Linked DNA regions of Nothobranchius furzeri. Each later gene encodes a partner of the first gene's protein in a complex. Links are inferred from orthologs where the notes say so. Each region holds a gene or a part of one and is shown on either strand. Other genes may lie near its edges. The genes, in order: robo3 and protein kinase C-binding protein NELL1.

The links.
Region 2: the proteins of robo3 (region 1) and protein kinase C-binding protein NELL1 are in contact, whole or in part, in a crystal structure (PDB 6POL), measured with the Homo sapiens proteins. The link is inferred for Nothobranchius furzeri from reciprocal best matches to the Homo sapiens genes ROBO3 and NELL1. Residues at the interface, in NP_071765.2 of Homo sapiens: Ser553, Pro555, Val590, Glu592, Phe594, Pro596, Asn600, Thr601, Trp602, Thr604, Ile624, Leu626, Arg630, Gly633, Ala634, Trp635, Gly636, Leu637, Ser638, Glu639, Pro646, Val647, Arg648; in NP_006148.2 of Homo sapiens: Ala440, Lys441, Met442, His443, Tyr444, His446, Tyr458, Arg468, Val469, Asp470, Asp471, Phe472, Ser473, Asp478, Ile492, Cys493, Thr494, Asn495, Thr503, Cys504, Lys505, Pro506.

Annotation. Positions count from the first base shown.
Region 1 is NC_091750.1:40,675,889-40,680,325, forward strand, and holds the start of robo3 (roundabout homolog 3), read left to right. Parts: upstream 1-1,420; 5' UTR 1,421-1,648; coding exon 1,649-1,802; intron 1,803-4,437. UniProt on the Homo sapiens protein: Receptor involved in axon guidance during development. Acts as a multifunctional regulator of pathfinding that simultaneously mediates NELL2 repulsion, inhibits SLIT repulsion, and facilitates Netrin-1/NTN1 attraction.
Region 2 is NC_091749.1:50,757,176-50,761,000, forward strand, and holds part of protein kinase C-binding protein NELL1, read right to left. Parts: intron 2,380-3,825; coding exon 2,251-2,379; intron 1-2,250. UniProt on the Homo sapiens protein: Plays a role in the control of cell growth and differentiation. Promotes osteoblast cell differentiation and terminal mineralization.

The DNA.
Region 1 (4,437 bases):
CTTTGGAAAAAGTGGGGGGGATATGTCGTTCCCCCCCCCTCCCCCCCCAAAAAAAAATTTACGTCCATGAACACTGGGATAAATGGCATTACTGCTTTGTAAAATAGAGATGCAACAAAGAGGTGTGGCTGTTTATTTGATGTTAAAATGGTGCATGGTGTTCTTATGATCAACAAAAATAAACATACAATAAACACACAATCAACATTTTATCAGAAGAGTCTATCTTTTAGTGTTTCTGTATTTTCTGCATTAAACAGCTGGAGGTTTGTGGTGAACAATAGTTACTGAGTTAAGGTTTTACCACTGTAGGTAAAATAGGTGTAACACCCTGTGTAAAGGCACCAGAATGCAGGAAATGAAATCTACACCATTTTTATTTTTTGTGCCCCCCCCCCCCCACCCCCCACCCCCGCATCAGTCGTGTCCCCCCCCCCCCCCCACACACACACACACACATTCTCATGCTTCCGACGCCCCTTGTAAAGCGCTTAAGAGTCCTCTGACTCTGACCAGCGCTAGGGCGGGTTGTTCATCGTTTATCATACCCTGTCCTCCGCCAGCCAGCTCCACTGGGGGAATCCTATGGCATTCCCGGGCCAGCCCACAAACACAACCCTTCCATCACATCCTCTGAATTTGGGTGGGGACTAAAACCAGCAGTTACTGAAGGTTGTAGAGGAAGCAGAGACCCACATGGCAGCACCTTTAACACTCCTCCAGTTCCCATCACAGAAACAGATCCAGCAGAATACTTTATGTATACGAACAAATACACACATCCTAATACCTCCGGTGCAGCTCATTAATAATCACTATATTTGCTGTAGCCACAACAACAAAGTGTTGTCCAGCTGCTACAGAAAGCTGTCCTTTATCAGGCTAGTTCCAGAAGAATGTTTATTTTTGTCCTTCTGGACCCAGAGGCCCTTGCAGAGCTCTAAAATCACTTTTACTTTAAGTTATTGAGCGAAGTTTCACTTTTAACTCGAATAACGGCTCAGTGACCGAGACAACCTGGAACCCTCCAGAGCCTGATGGAGGTGGAATAGATGGAAGTTCAAACAACGCAGCAGCAGTCCAGCCCTCAAGCATGTGTGTGTGTGTGTGTGTGTGTGTGTGTGTGTGTGTGTGTGTGTGTGTGTGTGTGTGTGTGTGTGTGTTTAAGAAAGACAGGAAGCTTATTCCATCCCTACCACCCTGATTCACAGCCTCCTGGGATGATTATTAATCTAATAATTAAACATTTATTGCCAACAACACCTGCTCTCTGTCTCCCTTCTGGACCGCCACCCACCCATCTGCCCCCTGGGACCCCATCATATAGAGGGAGAAAGAGGAGGGGAGTGAGAGGGAGGAGCTGGAGGGAGGGTCAGGGTGCGGAACAACCCCGGTCACATCGGTGGATTCTTCTACAGAGGCAGGAGGCTGGATGTTCTGAGTGCTGACAGAGTGTGAAGTTATTTCGTTTCAGGACAAAAGAAACAAGGAGGAGACAATCTGATGCTCAGAGGCATCACAGCACCCCCCGCCTCCACTCCACCCGGCTCAGGGCTGCAGTCATTTAGGGTAACTTTTCCTCTTACTGGGAGCCGGGGAACCAGGCTGCCTCACAGCAGGGGGGCTGCGGGTCCCTCCAGGAGCCAGGATGCTGCACTACCTCATCAAGACCCTGCTGCAGATGAACCTGTTTACTGATACCAGCCGGAGCCCGACCAGCAGCACCGATCTGCTCTTCAACGGATCTCTACCCTCATTTAACAGCTCTCTGCAGGAATGGGGAAACTTCTCCACCTTCAACGGTGAGTCTTTATGCTTTTCTATGTCCCATGCTGTTCTGGAGCGCCCGGTCTCTGTGAAGTACTTTGTGTTCCACTGGTCTCAGGTCAGATGTTTACAGAAATGTGAGTCAGTAATGGTCCAGCATCTTCTCCATATGTAGACCTCAGTGTTTCAGTGATGTCTCAGACTTCCAAGCTGGGTCCTCAAAAACTAGTCCTGACCTGATCTGAGTTCTGTAGAAGGTTAGGTTCAGGAAGAGAGGTGAAGATGTTGTGGATGTGATGAGAGGCTCTACAGCAGCCTGCTGTCAGATCAGTCAGACCCTTAGTCGGTCTGGTCATCAGGTAGACATCACGTCTGTCTTCAAGGTTGTAGAGGAGCTGCTTTGTTAGGGTGTCAGTAAATACCAGAAACACACACGCGCGCACACACACACACACACACACACACACACACACACACACACACACACACACACACACACACACACACACACACACACACACACACACACACACACACACACACACACACACACACACACACACACACACACACACACACACACACACACACACACACACACACACACACACACACACTCAACTCAACTTTATTTGAGCTATAAATAAAGGTTTGATTGATTGATTTGTAAATAGCGCCTTACAGGCAAAAAGATGCCACTAAGGCACTACACTGATCAAGTAAAAAACATAGCACACACACGCACACACACACACAGGCTCTCACACGCACACACACACACACACACACACACACACACACACACACACACACACACACACACACACACACACACACACACACACACACACACACACACACACACACACACAGCAAAAGGAGGGTTGAGCTGTCAATCACCCTGCATTCACTACAGTAGTGATCGCTGCAAATGTTTTAAGGCAAGCGTATCATCTGCCCATAAATCAAACCAGTCCAGGTCAGCAGGTCCTCACGACATGTTTGGTTCCGTCATTTCAGTCCAACCTCTTTTCAACGTTCAGCTTGACTTCATACAACTTTTGTCATGGAAACGGATCCAGATCTGGTGGTCTCTGAATTAGAATGTATGCCACAGATTTTCCCTCAGGGACAAATTTAGTTTGATAAGGATTAGGGTTCGGGTTAGGTTAGGTTGGGGGGGTGTTAGATTAGGGTTAATTTGATAAGATAAACGTAAACGTAGCAGGATTAGCCAAACAGCTACGGTTTACCTGCTGACTATGGACATACACTAAACGTTGCTCTAAAACAAAATACAGGTGAAAAGGGAAAAATGGGAATCTGGTGCAAAGGTTCATTTATGTCACTAATGAGGTTAAACTAATACATGAGACGGACTCATGCTAATCAAAGTCACGTGTTTAAGCCTGTACTTGTTAGAACTGTGATGATTGTGGTTGTTACAAACCCTAGGTGTTAAGCGTTGTGGCAAGGGGTAACATAAAAACTGATGCGGAGAAAGGAGGGGTGAGAGTAAATAAAAGGGTTTATTTCGCAGAATTCAACCCAAAATACACAGTCCCAGACTGGAAAGGTTCACAATGAATGTACGTAAACAAAACACACGAAGGAGAAACTGGAGATAACTCAAAACACCTGGGACAAACGGTCCCGGGGAGAAAAACACGACAATAACTATAGATCTAGACACGAAAAACAAAGAGCCGGAACTAACTAAAAACCAAATCTCGACGGCTATCAATATTATTACAAACACAACTTAAAGCGAGCTATAAAGCTAAAACGAAAACAAACGGCCTCACGGGGGCAGAATCAAACCGATCTTTCAAACGAATCAAGGATACTATCTGAAGTCACACCAAGTCAATCCGAATTACCAAACCGAGTTAATCGAGGAGAGAAAGACAGAGGTTTAATCTGTGGGTCTCTCGCTGAGAAACCGAAACAGGAATCTTTTAAGAGCGTCTCATCAGCGGTAGACTGTCCGCAGCTGAAGCAGAGTAGGCGGGCCAAGGCGGAGGCCAGCCTGATGGAGGACCTGTCCAAGGTCCTGAACAGCAGAGAGGGAACAGGACTGGGCCATACAAGGTGCGGGAGCCCAGGATCCGTAACAGCCCCCTCCTTCAACAAAAAAAAAAGGAGAAAACAGTAAGACTTGAACCAAAGACTGATGTCTAACTCTTTTTTTTTCTTTTACCATTATCAACAGTATCTTTAATACCATGAGGGCTCCCGCTAGCTACCTATCCAGACATTTGCTAACTAACCCCTACTTCTTCATGTGGACTAGAGGTGGGCTGATTAAACAGAAAATATCAGGTGGTGCTGATCCCCAGTACCACCGACTGTTCCCGAGATGTCTGGAGAACCAGGCAACGCTAACCTCTATCGCCACAACACTATAGAAAACAACAAACAGACTCGCCCTAAAGAGGAGGAGTCTCTACCACCTACCAGGGAGACCCTCACGGAATTTCAAGATTCAGACAGCCACGAGAGAAACCATCTGCCAAGACATTATTGGCACCACTCTTGTGACGAATTTCGATGGGGAACTCCTGTAAAAGCAGGGCCCATCGCATTAGTCTCTGGTTGTGGTTAAACATTCGTTTTAGAAAAACCAAGGGGTTGTGGTCGGTGTAGACGATGGTGGAAGAGGAAGAGGAG
Region 2 (3,825 bases), on another chromosome or scaffold:
TTCTGCATGAGAGTCCAACGTTTAACTAGGTGAGCTACAGCACCAGTAATGTATTTTGTGTCTGTAACATTTATATTCTTGATGACACCTGAAAAAACGTTCAAAGAACGGTTCGGAGTGAAAATGGCTATTTTGTTGCTAATTTACAGGAAATATCTAGAAGAAAGTAGCTAAGGATCCTCAGAAATGTAGCTAGGTTCGTCACTAGGTGTTAGGAACAGCGACAAAGTCGCTGAGTTTGCACTAGCTCACTCTCTGCTGCTAAAGCTACTGACAGCAAACGCTATGGGCTATGCCTGAGCGTGAACGTGCATGAAGCAGCCTGCTCGACCCGAGCATCTCTCTTTTTCTGTGATTTTACAGAAAAACAGACAATCACAGTAAAAATGCCAGGGCTCATTCCACAGGACCAGGGCATTGCAGGATAATGTATGAAGAAGAAATGTATTATTTCTATACATGTTTTGGCTGTCAAACTTCCATAATGCCCCTTTAAAGACAGAGGGACATATCAATTATGTATCATAAGGTAACAAAAACCAATTATCACACTATAATTTGGATCTCTAACTTTTTTTTCTAATAATTGTCTCATTACTACTCCATAAAGTCATCAGATACACATTAAAACATTAGGATGCATATGGAAATAACAGCTTGAGCACAGCTAGATCTTCAGTTAATAAAATTTAAAAGATGATTCAAATCATGCCGCAACAGCCTGCTGGCCATTTAAAACCAAAGTTACACCAGAAAAATACTTCATGTGTTGTAGGTTGTATCCTCAGCTGTTGTGAGTTGGGCGTGAGACTGACGATAAGTCAAATACCAACAGTGACATCCAACAAATCCAGTTACAATATGGGTTTGAGCTGGCTTTAGGGTCCACATTGCTAACACTGTTGTAGCTAAGGCAGCCACGGATTTATGAATTACATTGTTGATCTAACAATCGCAGCCGCCCAGCTACTGCTCGTATGGTAAGGGACAGATGTGGTTTGGAAAAGAGCTCTGGGTAAACCTCAAATGCAGTTCAAACAGATGCAGACATGCTGCGGGGCTCATGGCTACCAGAACACTTGGTGGATTTAGATTGCTGTGGCTACGATCCAAAGACAACTGAAACCAAGCACAGAGCAAATCCTCCAATCCACAATGAGATGTTTCCAAGATTTTTAATCAAATAAAGCCATTGACTTGATCTGCGCTAATCTGGGCCTCCAGCACCAAAACACTTGAGCTTTTGCTCAGCCAACAATACACCCACAGGACAATCACTGATCATTGACCTTTTCAAAACAGAATCAGTGAAAATCTACATAATTCAGTTTCAAAACACAGATTTTATGTTTAAGATAAAGTCACACGCTGGTGAAACTTCATCTCTGCGTTTGACCCATCCCCATGAGGGAGCGGTGAGCGGCAGCTGTGGCTGCACTCAGAAACCATTTGGTGGTTTAACTCTTAAAGCTGTGTGTCAAACGGTGAGACATCGGGTTCCATTTAAAAAAAAATGTAACAACCCGACTAGATTTGTTTCCGATCTCCCAGTCCCAGCACAGACACTCATACCACTAGGCCACTGATAAAGGTGGGCAGAACCAGAACACCCCCCCCCCCCCCCCTCTCAAAGAAAGTCCAACATCTCAAAGCAAAGTTTATCTGGATTAATACAAGATATTTTAACTTTTGATAAAGTTTCTGTCCTAAAACACACTGGATACAATGCAAATTGTGTTTCATGCTGCAGAAAGTCAACCAAAGCCAGTTCACACAACACAAAAAGCATGCTAATAATAGAAATCCCAGCTCATTGGTATTGTTCGACTGAGTGATAAATGGAAAACCAATGGCTAACATGTCCTTGAGAAAACACTGGTTGTAGTAACGGGTAGATTAGACAATGAAAACCTCCTTAAGCAAAAACTCCTTTTCAACAGAACATACATAGCCCATAAACAGCAGTTATGTTTTCATTAAACAAGCCATTCAATACATGTTTTTGCTCAAAACATACAACTTCAGGATCACACATGTGCAACCGTCATTCTCTTCACCATCAGTCATTATTGTGTCATATTCACAAATCTCCCTCTGGGTCTCATGACCCCCATAAAATACCTCTTTAAAGCAAACAATAAACCCATCCACCCACTTCTACCCATGCAGCTTCTTTGCATCCTGAGTGATTATATATTGTCAGCCACACGAGCCCCCACGAAACCTGAGCAGAGTAAAATAAAGTTGTACCTTCACAGTAAGTGGAGTCCCCGTGGATGGAGGCATAGCCACTCTTGCATTCACACTCTGCTTTAGTATTCCTGTTTTTACACTCTGAGTTTTCTCCACAAATGAGTCCCTCTGCGCAGAAGTCGTAACCTGAAAGAGAGAAACAGGGGAATCCATCAAATTTGCTTGCTGAAAAGACACACGCATCACTGTGAAACAGAAACAACCATGATTTTGCTGTTGACTGTGAGTGGCAGGGAGGGGTAGGAATCTGGTCTGATCTTTAGGCTTATCCCAAACTTAGTGCATTTATTCAAATATAGCAGTCACAGGAAGAAAAAACATACAAAAACGCAAAGGAACACAACTCTTTAGGATGCTATTGTTTTGTTCATGACAGTTCATTTCCCGATCCTGCTGTGTTGAATTCAAAAGATGATTGTAGATTTCACTAAATTCAGAAATCAAAACAATGATGTCAACAAAAATAAACATTTACTTAAAGACGACAAAGTGTGCTGAAGAAGCAGGTAATTTAAACTTTAAGTATAAATTAGAAGTAGTTGAGACAGAAAAAATATTTAAATAATAGTGGCGGCAGGCAAACACCAAGCTCTATCAATGAACACCAACATCTCCAAAAGAATAAATCCCGCAGACCATGGCGCTCTCATCTCATGACACTAGGACTGTTGGCAACATCTTGTGACTGATAGTTGCCAGAGTTTCCAACATTTTTCAAAAAATGTTGTCAGTGTCCTCTTTTGGGTTTTAGGGCCAATGACAGCGATGTCATGATGCTAGATTTTTGAGCAAAATATTTGAGGGATTAACTACAAAACTGCAATAGAAAGGAGGACATGTTGAAGAAAGACAACATAATTAAACTATTACTGCTAGATTGTAAGAAGAACATTTGCACCACATTCTCACTGCTATTACATCTTACCAGTCATGTTTCCACTGTCGGAACTTCAGGGTAACTGTAAATGCAGCTCTCTCAGGACTTTACGCAGACACCAGCAGGTTGTGACTGCTTCAGCAGTGAGTCATGTCACTGATCTGTACCAAAAAGCATCCGCAGTAACATTGATAGGATTTAAAGGTAAAAGTACAGCCTAATTAAATCCATTTGGAGCATGAAAGCAGCTGTGTTATGTACAATGCGGTGTTCAATAACCAGAAGATGCTTATTTTTTGTAGTTTTTTTTTACTGCACTCCATGAGACAACAAAGCCCTGTGATTTAAGCCATTGTGGGAGAATTCTACTATGTTTTTTGGTGTTGGGTGTATAGTAATGGCAATGTTACTTCTTTCTGCTGTGTTTTTGGGTGTCAGGTGTTTAGTAACGGTGATATTGTGGAATTCTGCCATGTTTTTTGGTGTTGGGTATTTAGTAACAGTGATGTGGGGAATTCTGCCATGTTTGTTGGTGACGGATGTTTAGTAACGACGATGTGGTGGAAATCCTCCATGTTTTTTGGTGTCGGGTGTTTGTGTTTTTTGGTGTTGTGTGTTTAGTAACGGTGATGTAGTGGAATTCCGCCGTGTTTTTTGGTGTTGGGTGTGTAGTAACGGCGATGTGGTGGAATTCT